Rattus norvegicus: one gene and its partner. The protein of the gene in region 1 interacts with the protein of each later gene in a pairwise test. Links are inferred from orthologs where the notes say so. Each region holds a gene or a part of one and is shown on either strand. Other genes may lie near its edges.

What was found.
Region 2: the proteins of Trip10 (region 1) and Sh3bp1 interact in binary tests that used the Homo sapiens proteins (3 or more experiments, as listed by UniProt). The two-hybrid records come from large-scale screens. The link is inferred for Rattus norvegicus from reciprocal best matches to the Homo sapiens genes TRIP10 and SH3BP1.

The regions. Positions count from the first base shown.
Region 1 is NC_086027.1:2,225,547-2,232,361, forward strand, and holds part of Trip10 (cdc42-interacting protein 4), read left to right. Parts: intron 1-311; coding exon 312-458; intron 459-685; coding exon 686-880; intron 881-2,860; coding exon of another isoform or gene 2,861-3,028; intron 3,029-3,233; coding exon 3,234-3,343; intron 3,344-6,815. UniProt on the Homo sapiens protein: Required for translocation of GLUT4 to the plasma membrane in response to insulin signaling. Required to coordinate membrane tubulation with reorganization of the actin cytoskeleton during endocytosis.
Region 2 is NC_086025.1:112,346,890-112,353,106, reverse strand, and holds the end of Sh3bp1 (SH3 domain-binding protein 1), read right to left. Parts: intron 4,498-6,217; coding exon 4,406-4,497; intron 3,177-4,405; coding exon 2,785-3,176; 3' UTR 2,448-2,784; downstream 1-2,447. Other genes in the region: Pdxp (chronophin), read right to left, coding at 1-104. UniProt on the Homo sapiens protein: GTPase activating protein (GAP) which specifically converts GTP-bound Rho-type GTPases including RAC1 and CDC42 in their inactive GDP-bound form.

The DNA of each region.
Region 1 (6,815 bases):
AACTCTATTCATCCTTCTAAGCCCTAGCTCTAACAAGCCCTAGGTAGGTCTCAAATTTCCCCAGCCTTCTTCCCCACTCTCTGTCCCAACCTGGTGTCAGGATTGTCTATGCTCCACATATTCTTTATTTAGGCTCTGTCTCTTTGTAACCTCCTTTGAGAAAACACTCCTGCACCTTCACCCTGCCCCTGGGGTCATGAGGGCAGACCTGATTCTATCTTCTTTGTCAAGCCTGGGCTCGAGGGCTTGATGGTTTCAGCTTGGAGTTGTTTGCAGGGTTGAGTTACCTTGTACTCTCCTCTGGTCTCCAGAAGCTGCAGGACATGGATGAACGCCGGGCCACCCGCCTTGGGGCCGGGTATGGGCTCTTATCTGAAGCTGAACTGCAGGTGGTTCCCATTATTGGCAAATGCTTGGAGGGCATGAAGGTGGCCGCAGAGTCCGTGGATGCTAAGAACGTGGGTGCTCAGCCTGAGCCCAAGGGGTGAAATGTGGGCTAAGGGAGGGCGGCTCCCCAAAGGTAGCCCCCCCCCCCCCCCCCCCCCCCCCGCTGAGCTGAGGACCGAACCCAGGGCCTTGTGCTTTCTAGGCAAGCACTCTACCACTGAGCTAAATCCCCAACACCCCAAAGGTAGTTTCTTAACCTGGCTGCTGGTTGCCATTCACTTCTTGCCCCTTCCCAAAGGACTCGAAGGTCCTCATCGAATTACACAAGTCAGGGTTTGCCCGCCCGGGTGACTTGGAATTTGAAGACTTCAGCCAAGTTATGAACCGAGTGCCGTCGGACAGCAGCCTGGGCACCCCAGATGGCAGGCCTGAGCTCCGAGCAGCTTCCAGCCGTAGTCGTGCCAAGCGTTGGCCTTTTGGGAAAAAGAACAAGGTGGGGTCCGGAGCTCTTGGGGTGAGGAGTGGGTGGAGGGGGGACAGTCAGCCGAGGTCCTCGCTGACTCAGCTGCAGCCACATGGAAGCCCGAGTCCTGGGGCAGGAATTTTCCTCTTGGCTGTTGGCCCAGGTTGGAGGGAAGGAAACAGAGGAAGGCAGGCCTGAGAACCCACTGGCTGGCTTTGGAGTCCCTCTGAGCATGAGAGGGAGGGAGGACAGGGCTGTGGGCCTGTGGCATCTTCTACTGCATCCTAAGACCCTTGAAATCTCATGTTGGCCTGACAGCTGTGACATTGCCCCCCAATCCCTGGGAGTCATCCTCTATCTCCATTCTCTGTTTTGGGGGACCCTCCACTTTCTGTGCATTTTCTCCTTGGGAATTTGACTTTTAGGGTCCAGTGTATACCTCGACACCACCTGGTTTACCCCTTCCACAATCACTCTTTCTTCTAGCTATTCCTTGCAGTTGTTTTCTTCTTTTCCATCCTATTTAACTTATACCCCTCTTACCTGACACCTCCCATCCCTCCTCCCACCTGTCATCCCTCCTCCCACCTGCCATCCCTCCTCCCACCTGCCATCCCTCCTCCCTCCTGCCATCCCTCCTCCCACCTGCCATCCCTCCTCCTACCTGTCATCCCTCCTCCCACCTGCCATCCCTCCTCCCACCTGCCATCCCTCCTCCCACCTGTCATCCCTCCTCCCACCTCCCATCCCTCCTCCCTCCTGCCATCCCTCCTCCCACCTGTCATCCCTCCTCCCACCTGTCATCCCTCCTCCCACCTGCCATCCCTCCTCCCACCTGCCATCCCTCCTCCCACCTGCCATCCCTCCTCCCACCTGCCATCTCTCCTCCCACCTGCCATCCCTCCTCCCACCTGCTATCCCTCCTCCCTCCCACCTGCCATCCCTCCTCCCACCTGCCATCCCTCCTCCCACCTGCCATCTCTCCTCCCACCTGCCATCCCTCCTCCCACCTGCTATCCCTCCTCCCTCCCACCTGCTATCTCCTCCTACCTGCCATCCCTCCTCCCACCTGCTATCCCTCCTCCCACCTGCCATCCCTCCTCCCACCTGCCATTTATCCTCCCACCTGTTATCCCTCCTCCCACCTGCCATTTCTCCTACCTACCTGCCATCCCTCCTCCCACCTGCCATCCCTCCTCCCACCTGCCATTTCTCCTCCCACCTGCCATCCCTCCTCTCTTGAACTTGGACTTCTGAGTAGTAGGCAAGCACTGATATCCCCCACCTCTCATCCCCCTATCTGTCTCCCTTAGCCTATGTGTCTGACCACCCTGGTTCTTTAAAAACAATATTACTTTTATTTATTTATGTATTGTGTGTGCTCATGCACATGTAGATGTCACTGAAGGACTTTCAGGACTCAGGTCTCTCCTTGATCCCAGGGATCAAACTTAGGTCATCGTGCTTGGTGGTGGCAAGCATTTTTACGGACTGAGCCATCACTTTGTCCCCAGTCTTTACTTCTGTCATGCACCCTACCTTCTAGACTGTAAGTGCAGGAAGCCTGGCAGAAACACCTCCTGGGGTGCTCTCTGAGTCCTAAGACTCAAGGGTCAAAGAAGGCTTGGGAAGTGACTGGCACCTGCCTCATAGTTTTTAATTTATTAGGTTTTATATTTTGGGGTATATGGAGGTCAGATGATAGCTTATGGGAATCAGTTTTCTCTCTTTCAGGGCTTGGCACAAACCCTTTTCCCTGCTAAGTCCTCTTGCTGGCCCTGGCTGCCCTTCTCTTGTCTTCCCTGGCACCTCCCAAATCTTCTGTTGTTGCTTTTATAGGTGTTTTCTGTGTGATCTTACCATTCAGTTGTGGTTTTCTTATCATTATTTTTCCCTCTTTCTCCATTTTGTTTTTCCTGTTTCCTGTGTCACGTCCGTCCATCCTTCTCCGACTACATCCTCGCATCTCCATCCCTGATTCATCCCCCCTTCCCTGGCCCCCACGGTTAGCCGCGTCCCCCATCCCTGTCCCTCCTGGGGGGTCACCTACCCTCCACACTGTCTGATGGACCCTCATCCCCCCGTTCTGGCCGTGACCCCTTGGCCATACTGAGCGAGATCAGTAAGTCGGTCAAACCGCGGCTAGCATCCTTCCGCAGCCTCCGAGGCAGCCGTGGGGTAAGTTGAGGCCGGATGGTGGGACCCTGGGCTCTTTCCTGCTGCCTGCTGGGTCCCCCAGATTCCAGCTTTGCTCTGTGCATGGCCTCACTCCTTAAAATTCCTGCTAGGGGAGGAAGGTGGACCTGGTATTTCAGGAGCGAGAGAGGCGCTTGGCAAACATAGGGTCGCAAATCCTAAACTCAGATCCTGTCTCATCTTGCAGACCGTGGTCACCGAAGATTTCAGTCACCTGCCCCCGGAGCAGCAGAGAAAGCGACTCCAGCAACAGTTGGAAGAGCGGAACCGAGAGTTGCAGAAGGAGGAGGACCAGAGGTGAGCGTGCTAAGCTGGACGAGGCTGGAGATGAATGCAGAACTAAGCAGGGTTACTCAAGGACCAGGCATAGCCTCCTCAGTAGAGCACTTGACTGGCTTCCTGAGGGTCCCATCCCTGCTGCTACTATGTTTCATGGTATACAAGGCTTTTGCCAACACAGTCTGGGCTCTGAAGGTCGTGGGTGTGCATATTGGTTGGTGTACGGAGGTGGAGGTCAGCGTCCTCTTTTTTTTTAAAGATTTATTTATTTATTATATATGAGTACACTGTAGCTGTCTTCAGACACATCACAAGAGGGCATCAGATCTCATTACAGATGGTTGTGAGCCACCATGTGGTTGCTGGGATTTGAACTCAGGACCTCTGGAAGAGCAGTCAGGGCTGTGTGGCTGTATACCCAACTCGCTATGTGGATCAGAACTCGGTTCTCAAGGCTGCTCAGTAAATGCTCTTAACCACTGAGCAGTCTCCAGCCCTGTACCTTGTCTATTATTATTATTATTATTATTATTATTATTTTATTTAATCTTGTTTTATAGTCCAGTCTTTATCCCTATCCTTGTCCGCCCTCTGACTGTTCTACATCTCATGCCTTGTCCCCCTTCCACTCCCCCACCCCCACCTCACCAGACCTCCCTACTCCTGGGGTCTCAAGTCTCTTGAGTGTTAGGCACAGGCACATCTTCTCTCACTGAGTCAAGACCCAGCAGCCCTCTGTTGTATATGTGTCGGGGGCCTCATATCAGCTGCTTGGTTGGTGGCTCAGTGTCTGAGCAATCTTGGGGGTCCAGGTTGTTGAGGCTGCTGGTCTTCCAATAGGGTCGCCCTCCTCCTCAGCGTCTTCTGTTTTTTCCCTAATTCAACCGCAGGGGTCAGCAGCTTCTGTCCGTTGTTGGGTGTAAATATCTGCATTTGACTCTTTCAGCTGCTTGTTGGGTCTCTCAGAGGGCAGTCATGCTCGGCTCCTGTTTGTAAGCACACCATAGCATCAGTGATAGTGTCAGGCCTTGGAGCCTCAAGTAGGTCTCACTATGTGGCCCTACTTGCCTGGAACTCACTACATAGACCAGGCTGGTCTTGAACGCATAGTAATGTCGAGTGATGATATTCAAGACGTGCACCACTACACGGCTTCTCTTCACTCTTTTTTGTTTGTTTGTTTGTTTGTTTGTTTGTTTGTTTGAGTCAGGGTCTCTCAACTGGGACCTGGGCTTGCTGAGTGGCCTGGACTGACTGGCCAACGAGACCTGGGGATCTCCTATTTCTGTTCACCCAATGCTGGGATTACAGATATGGGGTCTCATGTCAGGTTTTGTATGGTTTTAAAGGAGATTCCTGCCACACAGCGGGGTGTGGTAGCCCGTCTGTAATCTCAGCATTCCAGAGCCAGAAATAGGAGGATCCTAAGTTCGAAGCCAGCCTGGGCTTCTTGGGACACTGTCTCAAAACAGTAGTAGTGAAGAACAAAAACAGAGGTCGGCAAGGATCCTTTATTTCCCATGTCCTGTAAGTCCCTCCAGAAGATGGAGTCTGGTGAGCCCTTGTGCAGCCTCTCTCCATACATCACTGAGCAAACGACAAGGAAGTTTCCACTCCCCTCAGTGATCTGACTCAATGGCTAATAGCTCTTGACACCTAAGCCTGAGGATCTTAGTTTGATCTCAGAACCCACTGCAGACAGGGGCCATGACATGTGTGCGCACACTGGCATGGACAATAGAAATAAATAAGCAAATGGATAAATTAAACAATAGCCAGCTCATGGTAATAGAAACTTTACCACAACAAACTGTTGATGTACTTTCTAAGACAGGCTTGTCCTCTGTGGCTAGGAGCCACCCTTAGCAGCACTGGAGGATTCTGTGAAGGGCTATTTCACTCCGGACCAAGTCCTCACTAGGGGACTTTTGACAGGAACTGTACCCCGACCATGCCCCAGCCCTCATTTATTTTACTCCCTATCCCCACCCTGAGACAGGTTTTCTCTGTGTAGCCCTGGCTGTGCTGGAACTTGCTCCGTACACGGCTGACATTGAACTCAGCGATCCACCTGCCTCTGTCTCCTGAGCACTGGATTAAAGGTGTGCACCACCACCGCCGGCTTCATATATCTATTTTTATAATTCTTATTTTGGGACTGGGTCTGGGTAAATTGCCTAGGCTAGTCTGGAACTTTCAATTCTCATGCCTTAATTTCCCAAGTAGCTGGAATGACAAAACTGGCACTTGGGCTCAGTTTCAAAGCTCTTAGTAGACTGCAAAATAAAACAAAATGCCTGTCCCATGGAGCCTTACCCATTAGTGCCAAAACTGTGCAATCCCGGGCAGGAGCTCGGTCAGTCTGAGTCACTGTCTTGATAGGAGGAAGAGGAGAGTTATCTAATGCTGAAACACAAAATACTAACGTGAGAAATCTGCCAGATTTAAAAGGACAAGAAAGTCTTTACTCATTCTTTCCGGGCAACAAAATCCTCTGCCCAGCTTCCTTATATAACCGGAGTGACGTTTGCCACTTGTTAGCAGGTGGCCAGCCAGATTCTGTTTGGCTGTTCACATGTGGCCTTCTCCAGAGAATGGAAATCATGGGACAGAAGCCATGCCTGGAACTGCATGCAGCCTGGGCGTTTATAGTGGAGTGAAGCATCTGCCTGCTGGGAGTGCAAAGGGCTGGCTTTTCAGTTTGTTTACTTTTTGTCGTCGTTTTATTCTTTCTCTTATTTTGTATGGGCTTACCCGTGCCCTGGCTCCTATGAATCGGTCAGAGGACAGCTCTCTGGAGTCGGTTCTCTTTCCACTACGTGTCCCAGGGATGGAACCCAGGTCCTTAGGCTCGGTTGCAGGTGCCTTTTATCTGCTGAGCCATCTCGCTGGGCCTTACTTTTATATTTTATCTTGAGACAGGGTCTTGCTGACTTTTCCAGGTTGCCTTGGAACTTTAGTCTTCTGGGTGTGTACGCTGCCTGTGTGTGTATGCGACGCTGTGCACGGCCCTGCACACACGGAGGGCACAGGGTCTCGCTGGTGGCTGCTCTATCTCTCTAGCTCATTCCCTTGACGTAAGGTCTCTTGCTGAATTAGCAGTTGGTCTGAGGGCCAGTCTTTGCCTTTTCTTACCTCTGTCCTGCACGGCCCTTGAGTTATGGGTCCTATGGGAGCTGTACCCAGATCTTTACATGGGTGCTGGGGATTGAAACCCGTGTCCTAAGGCTGGTGTGGCAAGTGCTCTTACCCACAGAGCCATCTCCCCTGTCACCCTTGTCTCTTGAGACGGGGTCTTTAACTGATTTAACTAGAGTGGCTGGCCAGTTTAGCTGTCTCTGCCTCCCTGGTGCTGGTGCCTGGCTTTTCACCCGGGCACTGGGGATTGAACACGGGTCCTCTGGCTAAGTACTTGGGCGACCCACTGAGTCAGCTGTAGTCTCACTAAGTTGCTTGGGTTGACCTTGAACTCACTGTTGTAGCAGAGGCT
Region 2 (6,217 bases), on another chromosome or scaffold:
CGCTCGCCGTTCCACAGCACCCCGTCGCAGTCGAACAAGACGCCCTGCGCCTGGCCCAGCACGTCGCGCAGGGCCGCGCCGCGCAGCCGCTCGCAGCGCGCCATGCAGCCGGCTGGCCGCTCGCACGCGCGCGCTGCGCTCCCTCCGCCGACAAGGGGTAGCTCCACCAATTGACGTGCAGAACGGGGCTGGGGCGGGGCTACCATCACAGGCTTCAGCCAGTGGCGACGAGAGTTTAGTCGAAGGCTCTAGCCGATCTCGAAGGAGCTCGGAGAAAGGGGCGGGACCGCAGGGCGCCAGGGGACCAATGGTGAGCCAGACTGGTCTGGAGCGAATCGCCGTGCGCTTCCCAGCCAATTAGAAACGTAGGCCAGCTGGTTGCTAGGAGAAAAAAAACAGAGGCTGAGAGATTTGTTGTCTTCTGGCTAGATCTTGCCCTCCAAACCATTGACGCTCATTTAGAAACAAGTGGAAGGAGCAAGGGCCGCATCATCTATGTCTTCACAGTCTAGTCTAGGCTGTTGGGCTTGACCAGTGACCCTTCTGGTCATCTGACTGTGCTGTAAAGTTCCCCGAGGAATTAGATTTTGTTGTTGTTGTATAATTCGCGTTTAGTAAGATGTATACTTAAAAAAGGGTTGGGGATTTAGCTCAGTGGTAGAGCGCTTGCCTAGCATGCGCAAGGCCCTGGTTTCGGGGTTCGGTCCCCAGCTCCGAAAAAAAAGATGTATACTTTACAGTTCGATGGCTTTAGATAAATGATTTTTTTTTTTTTTTGGTTCTTTTTTTCGGAGCTGGGGACCGAACCCAGGGCCTTGCGCTTCCTAGGTAAGCGCTCTACCACGATAAATGATTTTTTTTTCTTTTTTTCGGAGCTGGGGACCGAACCCAGGATAAATGATTTTTAAAACACGGATGCAGGGTCAGTGAAATGGTTCAGCAGATGATGGCAGTTTTCTGTCAAGGCTGAGAACCTGAGTTCCTTCTTCAGAAACCTCACGGTGGAGAGAACATACTCCTTCAAGTTGTTTTCTGACCTCCCCAGGCACATCCACACACAAATGGATGTTAAAACATTGTAGCCAGGCAATGGTAGCACATGCCTTTAATCGCAGCACTCAGAATCAGAGGCAGGAAGATCTCTGATTTCGAGGACAGCCCAGTTTACAGAGCAAGTACTAAACATTCTGTACTAGAAACCCTGTCTCGAAAACCAAAAAATAAAAAAAAAAACAAAACAAACAATTACATGGATTTAAGACAGGAACCTAGAAATCTGACTTCATGTGTTTTGTGGGGGGTGGGGTGGGGGAAACAGCTAGACATTATTTTGGTCATCAGGGCCAATTGGTTGTCCATGTTATTGATGGGGTGGTCCCAGCTGCCTAAGTCTCCATTTTGTAGATGGGGACCTTTTAATCCGTCGAGCCTTTGAATAACCAATAGTTCAAAGCGTGGGGACCAGGAATGAATGGGGATCTGTACTGTCACAATTTTGCGGTTCTAAGCAGAGCTGTAGCTGCCTAACCTCCAGAGCAACTGAAGTTAAGAGACCAAGGGAGGGCTGGAGAGATGGCTCAGTGGTTAAGAACACTGACTGTTCTTTCAGAGGTCCTGAGTTCAATTCCCAACAACCACATGGTGGCTCAAAACCATCTGTAATGGGACCTGATGCCCTCTTCTGGTGTCTGAAGACAGCTACAGTGTACTCATATACATAAGTCTTTTTTTCTTTTTAAGAGACTAAGGGAAAAACCACGCCTTTGAGCCCAATTAATTTCTGTTCTCTGTGCCCTTTGTCATCCATCTTCTTGGCCTATAAGACTCTGGACAGCATGCCCCCGCCCACTCTAGGCTATTAAATTGGGCTTCCAGCTGTATTGACTCAATTCTGCCAGCCCACTCCCAAAAGACCCTCAGGTGTAGAGCTGTAAGGGGTGTTAGTCTGGGTCTACACAGAGCAACTCAGGAAGGCCATGAGTAGATCAATCCCTGCTCCTGGGAAGGTTGTGTGTTTGTGTGTGTGTGTGTGTGTGTGTGTGTGTGTGTGTGTGTGTGTGTGTGTGTGTGTGTGCATGGGCGCTTTGGTCTTCCGACCACAGACTGCCTCAGAGGAACCCATTCTCCTGAGAGGCTGAGCAAACTGCCCTGGGTGGGAGGAAGAGCCCAGGCTTCAGAACTAAGCTCATGTGTTACACCTCAGGCTGGCATGGCCTGTACAGTCCCCTCTCACTGGCTTCAGAGACGTCGTCACCTGCAGGTGGTGCCATTACCTCAGTGAGAAACTAGTCTATGGGAACCATATTCAGACAAGCAGCTCCGAGAAAGTCCCAAGCCCTTGGCTATTAAATCAGGAAGGAGGGGAAGATACTCTATCTGTCCCCTTTCCTCCTTATGGGGGTAGATTCTGTATCTCCAGGAGAGGAAGCTTTTGTTTGGCCGTTTACTCCAGTTTTGTTAAAAATAATTTATTTACGAGCCTTACAAAAATACATTGGCAAGAGAAAAATAAAAGTCCCGTAGGAACAGGCATGTCTGTTGTCCTTCCTTCTGGTAGCTCCCTTGAAACCCTGCCAGAGAGTGGGGAGTCGGGTGGGAACTCCAAGCTCAAAGTGGAAGAGGAAAGGTTTGAAATTTAGAGGGCTGGCTTGAGCCCTCCTGGCCATAGGGGCCGGCCCAGCAGGCACCTAGGCACATGGTGAGGGCTATCATGGGAGACAAGGGAGGAAGGGGAGAGGAGGAGAGAAAGGGGACACTGAAGACTTGCCAGGCAGGAGGGCCTGCTTAATCTGTCTCTGAAATGAGGCCCCTGGGCCGGGGCTGGGGTGGCAGAACTGGGGTAGGGGGATGCCCACCCACAGCCTCAGGGCCTCCTCTGTCCTCTGTAGCCGCTCCCTGGTCCACCTGAGCAGGCATGTTTGAAATGACAGGGGAGGCTGGGCAGGGGGAGACTGGTAAACGCCGGCTCTGTCGCCGGGCAGGTTGTGGAGGAGCAGGGGGTAATGGGGGAGGTACGGTGGGGGCCCGGAGGCTGGTGCCCACCAGACGGCGTGGCAAAGCTTGGGGAGTGCCAGGGCTGACCGAGCCAGCGGGCAGGGATAGAGCTGGAGGGGATGAGCGTGAGCTGGAAGGCTGGGGAGGTGGCATGGTAGGCCGGGCTGGTGCTGGGCGCTTGGCTGTGGAGGAAGCGAAACAGGAAAGTTAGGGGTTCACGTGTCTGTGTACATCGCATGTTCATTCCCGCATCTAGGCCTTTGTACATTTCTTCATGCGGGGGTGGTTTCACTTTCCACAGTGGGTCCTCATCACTGAGGTGCTCCCTGGTGGTCCTCTCTGGTGGAAGTGCTCCCTAGTGGTCCTCCTCCGTGGACCTCTCAGCTTACAGTAGATATCCCAGACCCCACCCCGGTTATGCTGCCAATCATCTTTCTCAGAAAACCTGTCCTCACAAGTATCTTGCCCATCTTTCTTGTGTCTCTCCCCAGAACATAAACCCAACATGGCTGCTAGTTAGCTCAGTCTAGGCGTCAAGCAGGAGTGGCTACACATCTGTTAATTATATAAATGCCTCCTGTCCCTATTGACCCATGGGACACAGGGGTCCTGCTTGCCTCTCAGAAGCCCCAGGTCCTCAAGCAAGTTCCAACCTTGTGAGGTAGTTGGAGGCTGCGGGGAAGCTAGGTGGAGCTGACATCAAAACTCTCCCTGGCTCTGTGGGCTCTGGTGTCTGGAATGGCTCATTTGCTCTCTGGGGCTTGTTTCCTCACTGGTAAGTCACCAGCCAGTTCAGGTGACTCTGACAGTACCCTGGTTTCCAGGTCTCTGTGTGGCCTGTAGACTTCTATGGCTGCTCCCCTAGCACGGCAGGATGCATTCAGCTCTAAAGTTCCTTGTCAGAACTGGGATGGGTGCTCTGCAGTGACCTAGTCCTCATGAGGATCCCTGACCTCTTACCTATATCCATCCTGGGCCAGACTGGCTTGAGTGTGCCAGGGAGCTCCAGGAGCCTCCAGACTCCTTGCAAACTTCTCACTTCCCTCTCCCTTAAATACAGTTCTGGTCCTGTCCTTCATAGTCCTTGGGCTTCCGGAGGGCTGGAACACTCGCCACTCTGACACTGACTTCCTTTCTCTAGCACTTCCTGTGTGCCAGAGCCCTGCACACTCCCTGAGGTCCCAGCGCTTCAAGGTTGGGGGGCAATTACAGTTCGGCCGCACAGAGGAGTGTAGAGGCTCTGACAGGCTGCCCCACCTGCCCAAGGAATAAACTGGAAGCTGGGTCCAGGTGCCGGGCAGCGAACCCCGACCTTCTCACTACGTCTAATGCCAGCCTCTCTGGAGGTGTGTAGAGACGGCAGGGGTGGGAGTTCCCACTCTCCAACTCTTCTCTCCCACAGCCCACTTACTCTTCCGAGTCATGTCCTCTGCCAAAGCAGTTGTATCTGTGGGGCTCCTGCTGACCTTGGGGGAAGCTGGTTTGGGCAATTCAGACTCTGTCCTGTCGAGGGAAAGAGAGGTGCGACAATCAAGCTTGGCTATTTCCTGGAAAGCTCCTACTAGGGTTCCACATGACTCCAAAGTGTTGGGTGGAAGGATTTGCTTCCCACCAGCTATGGCTGCGCCAAGAATGCGTTCTCGGTCTTAGTCTCTCTACTAGATACTTCAGGTATCGGCAGGGTTTGTGTCCATTAATCCTGGCTTAGTTAACTTTAACAGCCAACTTGACACAATCCAGAGTCACAGGGGAAGAGGGAGTCTCAACTGAGGGATCACCGAATCAGACTGGCCTGAGTCCATGGAGGTGGGGGACTACCGGTGCGGGACTGTCTTGATTTCAGATTGATGTGAGAGGGACCAGCTCACTGTGGGCCATGCTGTCTCCTGACAAAGCATCCGGAGTTGTCTAAGAAAGCCAACTGCTGCCGGGTTGGGGATTTGGCTCAGTGGTAGAGCGCTTGCCTAGGAAGCGCAAGGCCCTGGGTTCGGTCCCCAGCTCCGGAAAAAAAAAAAAAAAAAAAGAACGCCAACTGCCCAGTCAGCAGACAAGGCCTTAAGCAATGATGTCCAGGGCTCCTGCCTCTGCTCCTGCTTGAGATCCTGTCTCCCTGATAGACTGCTAAGTGAAGTATAAGAAAGTAAACCCTTGGGGGCTGGAGAGACGGCTCAGTGGTTAAGAGCACCTGACTGCTCTTCCAGAGATCATGAGTTCAATTCCCAGCAACCACATGGTGGCTCACAACCATCTGTAAAGAGATCTGATGCCCTCTTCTGGTGTGTCTGAAGACAGCTACAGTGTACTTATATATAATAAATGAATAAATCTTTTTAAAAAATTAAAAAAAAAGAAAGAAAGAAAGAAAGAAAGAAAGAAAGTAAACCCTTTTTTCCCTCCCAAGCTGATTTGCTCATAGTGTTTATCAGAGCCACAAAGGTTGGAAGCAAGCAAGCCTTCGGCTTTTCTAGGTGATCTTTTTTTTTTTTCCTTTTTTGAGACTGTCTCATTCTGGAACTGCCTAGGCTGGCCTTGAACTTTCCATGCCGAGAAAGCGGATCCTGAACTCCTGATCCTTCTGCCTACACCTCTCGGTGCTGATTAAGTATCATTGTGCCCATTTTGTGCACTCCTGAGGCTTGAACCCAGCCTTCCTGTGTACTAGGCAACCAATAAAGCTACACCCCTAGCCCCCACCCCCCCATGTGATCTGCCAACAGAAGTCAGAGTCAGAGTATGTGAGCAGCAGTTGAAAGAGTCTGGCTTCCTAAACGTCCGTCCATATGGCCATTTCCCCAGAGAGGCCTTCGTTTCCTACCTGCTGGTACAGCTCTCTATGCTGCCTGTACACTGTATAACCCTCCAGCAGAACGTGCATCCTGACATCACAGGAATGTAGATGGGGCAATGTCCACTCTCCCTGCCTCATTCAAGGTAGGGGCTGAGGGTGGCATATACCCGCCTCATTTAAGGGAGTCCCATCGTGTGAACCACTGAGAAATGCCAGTCTGCCACAAAACCTTTCAGACTTACAGGATTGAAGACAGGAAAGTTATGAATCCCAACCATCCCCTCCCAATTCCCTAAATTCCCAGGGCATGTGCCTGGGGCACATAATAGGTGCTGTAGAAATAGCCCTACAATGAAGGGAACATGCTTAAAGCTGAGAACAGGCTCCTCCCACGTACTCCAACCTGTGGGACCAGATCTACAGAACAAATACCAC